Cricetulus griseus: one gene and its partners. The main gene of each other region encodes a partner of the protein of the gene in region 3 in a complex. Links are inferred from orthologs where the notes say so. Each region holds a gene or a part of one and is shown on either strand. Other genes may lie near its edges.

What was found.
Region 1: Fbxl13 (region 3) and Drc3 share a complex: the UniProt entries of both Homo sapiens proteins name them as parts of the nexin-dynein regulatory complex. The link is inferred for Cricetulus griseus from reciprocal best matches to the Homo sapiens genes FBXL13 and DRC3.
Region 2: Fbxl13 (region 3) and Efcab2 share a complex: the UniProt entries of both Homo sapiens proteins name them as parts of the nexin-dynein regulatory complex. The link is inferred for Cricetulus griseus from reciprocal best matches to the Homo sapiens genes FBXL13 and DRC8.

The regions. Positions count from the first base shown.
Region 1 is NC_048600.1:74,496,720-74,500,371, forward strand, and holds part of Drc3 (dynein regulatory complex subunit 3), read left to right. Parts: intron 1-1,215; coding exon 1,216-1,362; intron 1,363-3,652. UniProt on the Homo sapiens protein: Component of the nexin-dynein regulatory complex (N-DRC) a key regulator of ciliary/flagellar motility which maintains the alignment and integrity of the distal axoneme and regulates microtubule sliding in motile axonemes.
Region 2 is NC_048598.1:15,668,664-15,672,315, forward strand, and holds part of Efcab2 (dynein regulatory complex protein 8), read right to left. Parts: intron 1,993-3,652; coding exon 1,913-1,992; intron 1,154-1,912; coding exon 1,111-1,153; intron 1,019-1,110; coding exon 952-1,018; intron 1-951. UniProt on the Homo sapiens protein: Component of the nexin-dynein regulatory complex (N-DRC), a key regulator of ciliary/flagellar motility which maintains the alignment and integrity of the distal axoneme and regulates microtubule sliding in motile axonemes.
Region 3 is NW_023276806.1:172,973,822-172,977,473, reverse strand, and holds part of Fbxl13 (dynein regulatory complex subunit 6), read right to left. Parts: intron 3,442-3,652; coding exon 3,324-3,441; intron 3,231-3,323; coding exon 3,068-3,230; intron 688-3,067; coding exon 568-687; intron 1-567. UniProt on the Homo sapiens protein: Substrate-recognition component of the SCF (SKP1-CUL1-F-box protein)-type E3 ubiquitin ligase complex.

The DNA of each region.
Region 1 (3,652 bases), on a different chromosome or scaffold from region 3:
GTAAACTCTGGAGTGGGGCTGCTAGATCAGAGGGTATCGTACATCTCTGCCAGACTTCTCTAGGGGCTTCCCGCTCACTCTTACCTACTGCCATGCATTTTGTCAGCAACTTTTTCTCTCTGTGGCTAAAAGATGTAAAGGGGACTCTTATTTGAAAAACCTTTTAGAAATTAAACCAGATACTGCCTTCAACTCCACAAGCAAGACTCCAGTGGCTTCCATAGTTCTTAGAACACATGGAAATTCTTGCTGAAAGCCTGTGTGCTCTTCTAGGAAGCAGCCTCTGATATTGTTTCTGCTTGTGTCTTATGTCCTCCCACCTGTCCCCTCCCCATTCTCCGCAGCAACCTCAGATGAGTGCTGTTGGTGACTGTGCCAAGCTCTCTGCTGCCTCAGGGCCTTTAGCTTCCTGGACTGTGCTCCCCCTGCTCTTCCATAGCTGGGTCTTAGTGAGGGTTTCTATTGCTGTGATAAAACACCATGACCAAAAGCAACTTGGGGAGAAAAGGGTTTATTTGTTTACACTTCTACATCACAGTCTATCACCAAAGGAAGTCAGGGCAGGAACTCAAGGCAGGAATCTGGAAGCAGGAGCCAATGCAGGGGCCATGAGAAACCTTACCTGTCTGGTGTACAGTGCAGCGTCTGTGTTTCAATGTTGCTGTCATGCAAGCACCAGCCATGTGGTTGATCTCCCCGTTTTACTAAAGCCAAAGCATAGGGAGGATAAACAGCATCAAGCAGAATGCTCTTCTTGCTGTTGTCCAGTGAATAAAAGGTGAGCCAGAAATCCAGCTCCATTTAGTGAAGGAGACTTGGGGCCTTCGTGTGGTTTTACTATCTAAAAGGTCACACTATTGTAAGCAGTCAGTCAGTGGGTGTTGTGCACCTTGCTGACTGCTCCTCATAGCTTATTTCATTTGGCCTTTTGATGACACACCATGTCATTCTGCCTGTTTTATAGAGAAGGGAATCAAGACTCACACACTAGACTGATCATTTGCCAAATGTCCCTCAGCTAGGCTTTGAGCTCTCCTTGTCTGATTCTTCTGAAATCTTGTGACTGGTCTCAGAACTAAAGTCTGACTCAGAAGCCACAGGCCCTCACCTGGTGCCCTGGCCAGACTGTAGACTAAGGAAAAGAAGGGTGTAGAGGGTGGAGGTGTTATGTGTTATTCCAGTTCTATAGCAGACCTCTGCTAACTCCCTTCTCAGATCATCTACCTGCGCCAGTTCTCATGCCTGCGAACACTCACCCTCTCTGAAAACCCCATTGCTGAGGCAGAGGAGTACAAGGAGTTCATCTATGCCTATCTTCCTGACCTTGTGTACCTGGACTTCCGGCGCATTGATGAGCAGGCGGCAAGTGTCCCGGCTATGTCCCCAATTCTGCTATACAGTCTTTAGGGCCCAAGGTTTCCAGAGACATTGAGGACATCTCCCCATCCATGGTTAAGAGAAGATGGTTCCTGGCTGAGCCCTCTCCCCACCTATGCACGGCCATCCAGCCGTGGCTTCCCGAGGCTTCCTACAGGCCCAGGCTCCTTCTACATATCACCCCAGGGCTACCAGCTGTTATCCAGGCAAAGACTTTAAGGAGAGTAAAGGAAGGGGACAGTAAATTGTCATGATCATGAGCTGGTGGCAAGGTCAGACTTACCCCAAGCTTGAGCCTGGGAGCAATCCACAGCGATCCACTGAGTGTTGTCACTCCAGGCTGAGTGTCCTGCTCTCATCCCCATTATTCTGGAAGCACACATAAACTGACACACAAGGGAAATGATTCACCCACAGTCTCCCAGTCAATTAGGATTAATCTAGGAGTTGGCTCCAGGGAGTTGGTATTTTAGCCACCTGCTGGGCCAGTTATAGTGTGTGTGTGTGTGTGTGTGTGTGTGTGTGTGTGTGTGTGTGTGTGTGTGTGTGTGTGATTTCCCCTCTCTCTACTGTCTGCCTCTGTCCCCTCTCCCTTGCCATAAGTAAGTGTCTCTCTCCTGCTGCTCTGTGCCTATGGTTCAGTGTGTGAGGCCTTTAGTAGCAAGACTATCGAGTCTATCTAAGTCAGGTGCCTAGAAACCCAAAGGCTGCTGACCTACTTGGTTTTTCCCATAGGAAGTTGTGTGCTTTTGCTGAGAAAGAGGAACCTATATTTGTCACACTGAGGGATTTGGGGGGTATGCAAGAAAGGCTATCTGGACAGAAAGAAGGGATATCCCCAGTGTCTACCCTGATCTTCTAGGGCCCATTCAGAGAGCCCAGCTCTGGGGGACAAACTGGCTTTAAAGTTAAGTCTTGTGCTGTTCACAGCAATAAGAGGAGACAGAGAGCTGCTTCTCCAACCCCATTGACAGTGGGCTTTCTGTGACAATGTGAACCTGAGTATTTCTCTTATTCTTTGGTTTTATTTGTGTTTTTGTTGTTGTTGTTTGTGTTTTTGAGACCACAGTCTCATGCAGTCCAGGCTGATCTTGAATTCACTATATAGCCAAAAATAACCTGACTCCTGATCCTTCTGCCTCAGTTTCCCAAGTGCTGCGATTACAGGTATTTGCGATGCCTGGCTCTGAGATTTTTAATTTGGAGGCTTTTTGGGGGGAGGGGCATTTCAAGACAGGGTTTCTCTGTGGCTTTGGAACCTGTCCTGGAACTAGATCCTGTAGACCAGGCTGTTCTCGAACTCACAAAGATCTGCCTGCCTCTGCCTCCCAAGTGCTGGAACTAAAGGCATGTGCTACCACAGCCCGGCAATTCGGAAACTTTTTAAAAATTTTATTTTATGTTCATTAGTGCTTTGCCTGCATGTATGTCTGATCTTCTGACACCAGGGTGTCAGAAGCCCTGGTGCTGGAGAGTTACAGACAGGTGTGAGCTGCCATGTGGATGCTGGGAATTGAACACCGATCCTTTGAAGCTAGTGCTCTTAACCACTGAGCCATCTTTCCAGTCCCAATTTTGAGATTGTGTGGTGTGTGCACGCGTGCATGCATGCATGTGTATTCCAAAACAGGGTTTCTCTGTGTAGCTTTAGTTGTCCTGGAACTTGCTCTGTGTACCAGACTGGCCTCAAACTCACAGAGATCCTCTGCCTCCTAAGTGCTGCCACCATACCTGGCCAGTTCTGAGATTCTTAAATTCAGTGGATAAGTTGGCACATTCCTCTAACCCCAGCACATGAGCAACTGAGGCAGGAAGATCAATAGTTTGAGGCAACCTGGGCTAGATTCAGGTCATCCTCAGCAATTCTAACTTTGTCTCAAATACCTAAAAACCAAGCAAGCAAGCACTGCTTTTAAGCCTTGGTCTCATCTCCAGAGCAGGATTCTTACACTGTTTTCTTCTTGTAGACCCTTCTTGCCTGAGAAAACTTACATGACTATAGGTAAATAGGAATGCAAATTAAACAGTTATTGATAATAAATCATAAAGAAGTTTGTTTTAAAACAGTTCTTTGGTACACATAGAATTTTACCATTTATTAAAGGGGATAGCTTCATTAGCAAAGTGCTTGCCACACGTTTGATCTTCAGGAATTACATAAAAAAAAAAAAAAAACAAGTGTAAGGGACTGGAGAGATGGCTCAGTGGTTAAAAGCACTTGCTGCTCTTGCAGAGGACCTGGATTCAGTTCCCAGCACACACATGGCAGTTCATA
Region 2 (3,652 bases), on a different chromosome or scaffold from region 3:
AAAATGATACCCATGTCCATGTCCAACTGATGGGTGACTGTTGCATCACTCACCACGTGGCCTGTGCATCTGGGAGCTGAAGATAGTGCAGGGTGTGTGTGTGTGTGTGTGTGTGTGTGTAGAGGAAGCAGAACTCCTTCCTTAGTGCAGGGTGTGTGTGTCTGAACAGCATTAATGATTGTCCATCATGCTGCTTACAGTTAGCGGAAACACACACACACATATATATATTGACATAAAAAGAGAACATTTAAGGAAATATATAGGTATTTGTCAGAGGAGGTCCCATTATCGTAAGAAAATACAGTTTTGCGTGAATTTGCATTCAATTAGGCTATATTGTTTGCAACTTTACCACCGAAGACAGTCTTTTGAAAGAAATTTTTATATACTATAATTCAAATCTTCTGTCTAAAAAGGCATTGGTTTATGATTGACAGCTCATATTAAGTGGCATGTCTTTTATTCAGAAAATATTTTAAGTGAATAAAGTAAACACAATTTATACAAGTAATCATTACACTTCTATTACACAAAATCAAATACCAAACCAAAATAATAGGAATAATAAATAAATTATTTAACCAAACAATTGCTTTTAAAGTATCGCCTCCCATAACTTTTGCATAATTGTTTAGAACTTATTAATTGGGCTGGAGAGATGGTTCAGCAGTTAAAACCATGCACTGTTCTTGCCAAGAACCTGAGTTCAGTTTCCAGTATCCATGTCAGGTTGCTGGCAACCATCTGTAACTTTAGCTACAGGGGACATGATGCTTCTGGTCTCTATGGGTACTGCATTCAGATGCACAGACACACACAGACACACAGACACACAGACACACACACACACACACACACACACACACACACACACAATTAAAAAATAAACATCTTTAAGCCTATTTATCTTTGCATAAATTACTCAAATAAGAAATAAAGTGCTCTGACCTTCCTCAGTCATGTATTTGATCAGTTCGTCCTTGGTCAGAAACCCTCGTTTAGCTGGATCCAAAACCTGGGGAAAGTAGATATATTTTCTTTGTTGAATAAATACTATATGATGAATTAGTTTTTCACATATACATGAATAATCTGGAGTTCACCCACCTCAAAAGCTCTGAGAAGGACATCTTCACCAATTGGTCTGTATCTGTAATTTTACAATAAAGTGAGTTAATGCCAGCATATTTATCTCAGTCTCTACATGATAAATGACTGCATTAGGCAAAATAAAAGCCACTAATATACTATGCTAATGGCATTTCCCTTGATGAAATTTCTTTGGATTTCTGGATATGAAAGTCAACAGTACCTACCCCACAGGAATGTTTGGTATTACCTATTAGCATTTTCTCATTGATATAAAAATAAATTTATCTACAACCAAAACATCTACAATCAATCAACTGTCATATGCTAATGCTGTCTTATGCTAGGAAAGTAACTAATGTTAATTTTTATTTTTAAATAGTAATTCACAGTTAAATATAACTACAATGTTGTTGGTTTTGTAGCTCCTTTTCCTTTTCATTATTTCTTGCTTGTATTAATAAATGCTAGCATGGTTTATATTTATAAGCACATCCCTAAACCAGTCTGCAGTACACTGAAAGGCTAGAGGAAACTACCCTAAGATATAGACTGGGTAAATAAAATATAAAAGGCCAAGTGGTTTGGTTTGGTTTGGTTTGGTTTGGTTTGGTTTGGTTTGGTTTTGAGGCAAAACTCTGTAGCTCAGGATGGCCTGAAACTCCATAACTAAGGCTAGCCTCAGGTTTGTGGCAATCCTCCTTCCTCAGCCCATCAATGCTGGAATTACAGGCATAAGGCATCACACCTGGCCAGCCAAATGTTTTGAAATTACTGCCATTCTAGTTATCTTGTCTTAAAATTGGATTTACTTCCTTACTTTCTTTCCAGAAGTGCTTTGGTCATCACTGGAAGAAACTTTTCAAAACGAATGTATCCGGTGGGTTCCTCTTCTTCCACCTGAACAATTAGAAACAGTCATTTATTCATTCAACAAATATACTGAGCAACTACTTTCTTTCAAACACTGAGACAAGGTTAGGACTTGGTGATGAGACTATAGACACAAATGCAGCTTGTGGAGCTTGTTTTCTGCAGGAGAGACACATACAATTCAGTAACCTGCTTGCCACTCAACCCTGAGGACCTAAACTCAATTCCTAGCACTCATGTCAAAAGCAAGGTGTGTAATTGCATCACAGTGGATTGTCACTCAGAGTTAACCTCTGGCATGTGTGCTCCCACACACCGAACACAAAAGCAAGTATCCAATTTGTTTTTACTATGCAAACTTGAAATGATCCTCCTGCTCAGCCTCCCCTATGGTGGTATGTCAGACATGAACCACCATGCCTGGCTTGAATGTCTAAATCTAGATCTATGCAAACACCATGAGCAAAGGAATGTGGGTCTAGTGGAGCACAGAGCACAGGAAGCCTCTCCCATCAGCGCATCAGGGAAGTCACTGGCAACTGTAGTGTCTGGGCTGGAAGAGGCTGGAGAGAGACCCTATCATCCCCAGAACAGCCATTCCCTGTTATCCTGAGAACAATGCAAAACCACAGACAGTCTCATAGGTGTGTGTTTTGAAAGGTCACTCTGTTGTGGATGAGGTGGCTACTTCAGACAAAGGGTGATGGTGCAGATTGGAGTGGTGGCCATGAGGAGAGTGGGTATGTGACCTTTAAGAAGACTTGACAGAGTGACAGCATTCACCCATTACAGATTAGGGGGAAAAGGCATCTAAAATGACTCCCAGATTCTGACTTGCACAAATGCACTGTCTTTCCGTGAAATGAGGAACCCTGAATACATCATCTCAAGGACCGACCTACATCTCAAATCATTCTTGTACTTATGAAATACTTTCCTGAGTACTAGAACTCTGCTCTGTCATCCTAAGTTAAGAAAATACTATTCTAAAGATGAGAGCTTTTGGCACCTAGCACTACAGAACGAGAAAGAAACAAGTCTTTTTTGCTTCCGGGTTCAACTCCGACCGACTGAACAAAGCTCTACTGACCTTAACTTCCATGTCAGGCAATTTATACGGAGCTATAAATCCTGCACTTTCTTTCAAAAATCCTATTAAAAGGCTCATAGATCCCAATTGAACAGATGAGTTTTTAAGAGATTTATTGTTTCAACAAAAAATAAATCTATGGGTGGCTATTAAGTAGAATACACTGTCATCCAAATGACAACTATTTTTAATGTTCATATGAGTCTGTATGAGTAGAGTCTTCAGAATCCATTATCAGAGAAAATCAAACCCATCTAGGGACATCATGTTTCAGAATTTCTGTACCATGTGAACAATTTCTTCAGCTTCCTCTAAGGTCTATGATGAGCATTTTGACAATTCATGTTAATATAGCTCGGTAGTCTGAAACTCCCAGAACACAGAGACTTAAAGGTTAAACATCTGAATGCAGGTGAGGCTCAGTGGTAGAGTCTTTATGGACTCTGGGGTTTAAACCTCAGGGAAGACTTTTTAAAAGTCAATCTCTGTGTCTCCTGGAAACTTCAGAGAATCTACACCATGAAGTCTCACCAACATTGAAGATATGATAGAAGAAATAGATACAACAGTAAAAGAAAATGTTACATCTAAAAAAAA
Region 3 (3,652 bases):
CTGGGGTTTGGGATAGGAGCCCCATCTGGCTAATATAAAGTTGGAGGGAAGAAAGGTGGAGTAATATGAGACTGTCTTTGATTTCGTTTCACACTATGGTTTAGAACAATGCAAGAAAAGTGTTTTTCAGAGTCATAAAACACCAGCATGAAAACACCCTGAAGAGTAGACACCAGACATGCATGGCCAACCTCCACACTTCTCTCTCCTTGGTCTATGGCAGGAGCCTTAGTTGAGGCCACTGCCAAGCGAGGAGGGTCAGGATTAAATCAATCATCTACAATAGTCCTCAGGAAACCTGAAGTAGGGACAGAATCCTTGAAAAGTGCAGACAAGTCACACTATCTACACATCCATCTCTCTGTTCAGAATTAAACCCAGTAACAATAAGAGGGAGCAGCAACGATGGGGTTAGGCTACTTCCTTCTAAGGACTCAAGCCTAACGGCTATTCTAGCTCTGGGTGTGCCCAACATGCAGCTAAGGACTTGGGCTCTTGGCTTTTAGGTCTATCCATGGTCACGCCTGTTACAGCTAATGTTCTAATGCAGATTGTCGCTTGTCCTACCGCTCTGACAGTTTCACAATGGCGGGATCGCCCACAAGGGAGCAGTTATTCAAATTGAGTTCTCTTATCTTCACACTCACAGAACCATCAAGAAATTGCCTCAGGCCAGCATCACTAATCCTGTGGAAAAGAGAGACAGAAGGGTCACATATGTTCTCATAAATAAACATACAGGCTGGTGGTGACACCAGTTTCTACACCAAATACATTCCAAAGTAGGAAATATCCATACACTGGCGTTTTGTCAAATTTTTGAAAATGATTGCATAGCTCTTAATATAACAGAAAATGGATATATGATAGTAATAGGAGAGATATTAATAAAATGTTATTTGTGTCCATTTGTTTTATTAGGTGGCATGATTATTAATAACATGGATGATCTCTTTTTTCCAGTTTAAAATGTACTAAGGTTAAAAAATCCCTGATAGGATCAGCAAAAGGCTAAGGCCAAATTTTAGAACAGGAAGAAGCAAGACTCAAGATCCTGGATGGATTCTACCGAATTCAAGGTCACCTGGGTTGGACCAGAAACACAAGGGGTGACCTTTGGAACTCTAGGCCAGAGAAAACTTGCATCTGGAAGAAGTCGGTGACTTCAGCCTGTCGTCATTAGAAGCGCCTTGAGGGGCCACGCTATCTCCCTGTACTGTCCTCGGTCTTCCAGGAGGGCTTTACTTCTAATATTATCTGAAGACCACCAGTTGCGTCTCTAGAAAGCCTTTCCACCAGTGAAACAGGACAAGCGATTGATTATATCACACACAGACAGTCTACAGGAGGGTGTGCGGGCAGGAAGAGCACTCAGAGCCTTCCTTGCTGGCTGCACTTTCCCTTTGACTCGCCAGGAGCAGAGCAGAAAAGGCAGAAGGTGATTGTTTCTGTTGCTTCAATGAGCCAAGCACCCTTAGCCAAGCAGCTTCTGAGATGGCGTACTTACTTATAGTTTTAGGTTACAGTCCACCATTGAGGGAGGTCAGCTCAAAGCAACTAGTCTCTTCCCATCCGCAGTCAAGAGCAGAGAGAGCTGAAGGTACCCAGGCACCCAAGCTGCCTGCTGGGCATCTTGCTCTCAGCTAGCTTTCCCTCCTCATACTACTCAAGGCCTGTCCTGGTTTCCTTTCTGTTGCTATGATAAAACACTGACCAAAACCAGCCTGGGGAGGAAAGGGTTTACTACACCTTACAGTTTCGAGTCCATCATCAGAGGAATCGAGGACAAAAGTTCAGGCAGGAACCAAAGGCAGGGAATAAACACCGACCTCAGAGATGCTTGCTACTAGGCTCTAGACAGCCCAGGCCCACCCACTCAGAGACACCATCTCCCACAGTGGGCTAGGCCCTTCTACGTCTAAAAGCAATCAAGACATAGTCATGCCCACAGGTCACCCTGAAAGAAGCAATTGCTCAATTGAGGGCCCCTCTTTCAGGCTGTGTTAAATTACCAAACAAGATTAGCCATCACAGGACCCCCAAACCAGGGCATAGTGCTGCCCACAGTCAGGGTGGGTCTCCCATGCCAATTAACAAGCCCCCCCCCCCCAGACATGCCAACAGGCTAACCTGACAGACAGGTTGGAAATCCTTTCAGGTGATTCTAAATTGTGACAAAGTTGACATTAAAAACTATCATAACAGTATTCCAGCGAATGGAAACTTTAGTGATTCCCATGATGCATCTCACCCAGTCACTGCTGTACCAGCAGCTAGGAAGGCAAGCCAGAGGCTGGTGGGGTGGGAAGTGAGGCATGACGAAGAGCAGGGTCCAAACACAACAAACTTACCTATTAGCTAACACCAGACTGGAGTAATCAATGAGTAATGTTTTCACTAACAAGAAAATAAAATATAGAACCCAAGCTATAAGACTGAGAAGTGTGTCTCTGGAAAAGATTTGCAAAAGAAAGCAGAAAGGCAGCACTGTGGGCAAGGAAACAGGAGTGAGAGTTCACAAAGAAAGAACCCACCGGAAGCAGGACAGTTTAGTAACCTGAGACTCTGCTTAGTTTGAGATAGATTAGCTCCTTTCCAGGCACACAATGTACCTAGCAACCTCAGAGCCCCCTCAAGCCCCACCCACACTGCGCTACTTGTAAACCTCTGTGAGAAACAGTGTAAGTTGTCCTTCTCCTAACAACAATCAAACCTAGACAGTTTCCTTTCAAAAAGATTTCCAGATATCTAGAATGAAAAATAGGCCGAGCCAGCTCAGCTGGTTTTGGGAGCTAGTGCAATACAACAAAACTGTGTTTTCAAGTGAACTTTTAGGGAAAATCCTCTGCGTACAGTCTTGGGCCTATGTGTATGATTAAAATCAGATGCATGTGCCGTCAAAAATGATTATATAATTACTCTATCAGTCAAACTAGAAAACTCATCTACACAGTAAGACTTGGTCCCCTGCCTTTCCTGATCCCCATTAACACTGTGGAGAGGGACTGGCTCATCCTTGATAATGTTACTTGAACCCTGAGTTGACATACCCTGAATGACTTCTTACCTTATGCAATTGGTCAAGTTCAACACTGTCAATTGCTTCAAAACTGAAAGTGACTTGAGGCTGCTGTCTGTTAGTGTCTTGCAGTCCACCATGTAGATGTGATTGATACCTGGGTAATTCTTGTCTATGTATTTGAAGCATGCATCAGTAATCCTTTTGTTTCCTGTGGAAAAGAAGGAAATACAAGTACTATATTTAAAGGTCCAGGGAAAAAAATTTAAAAACAAGGTTAAATCATGTTTTTGGCTTCACAGACCTTCAAATCGGATCTTTTTGAGGTTACAGGAAGTAAGAGCTTTGAAAGCACAGTCAGAGATGTGTGGTGAGCCAATGAAAACCACCGTTGAAATTTGGAGACACTTCTCAACCAAGACCTTTGGGAGAGGAAAGAACAGAGACAGGTTAACTACTGTAGAGGACCAACAATGAGGAGATACTGTCATTTTCCCCTCAAGATTTTCAGAAACAGATATGCTAACTATTACATTTTCCTAATTTTGAAGCAAATAGGACTGTTTTCATATTTTATGTAATGCAGTATTTTCATATTTCAGTAATGCAGAGAAATAAAATCACGTTACAAGG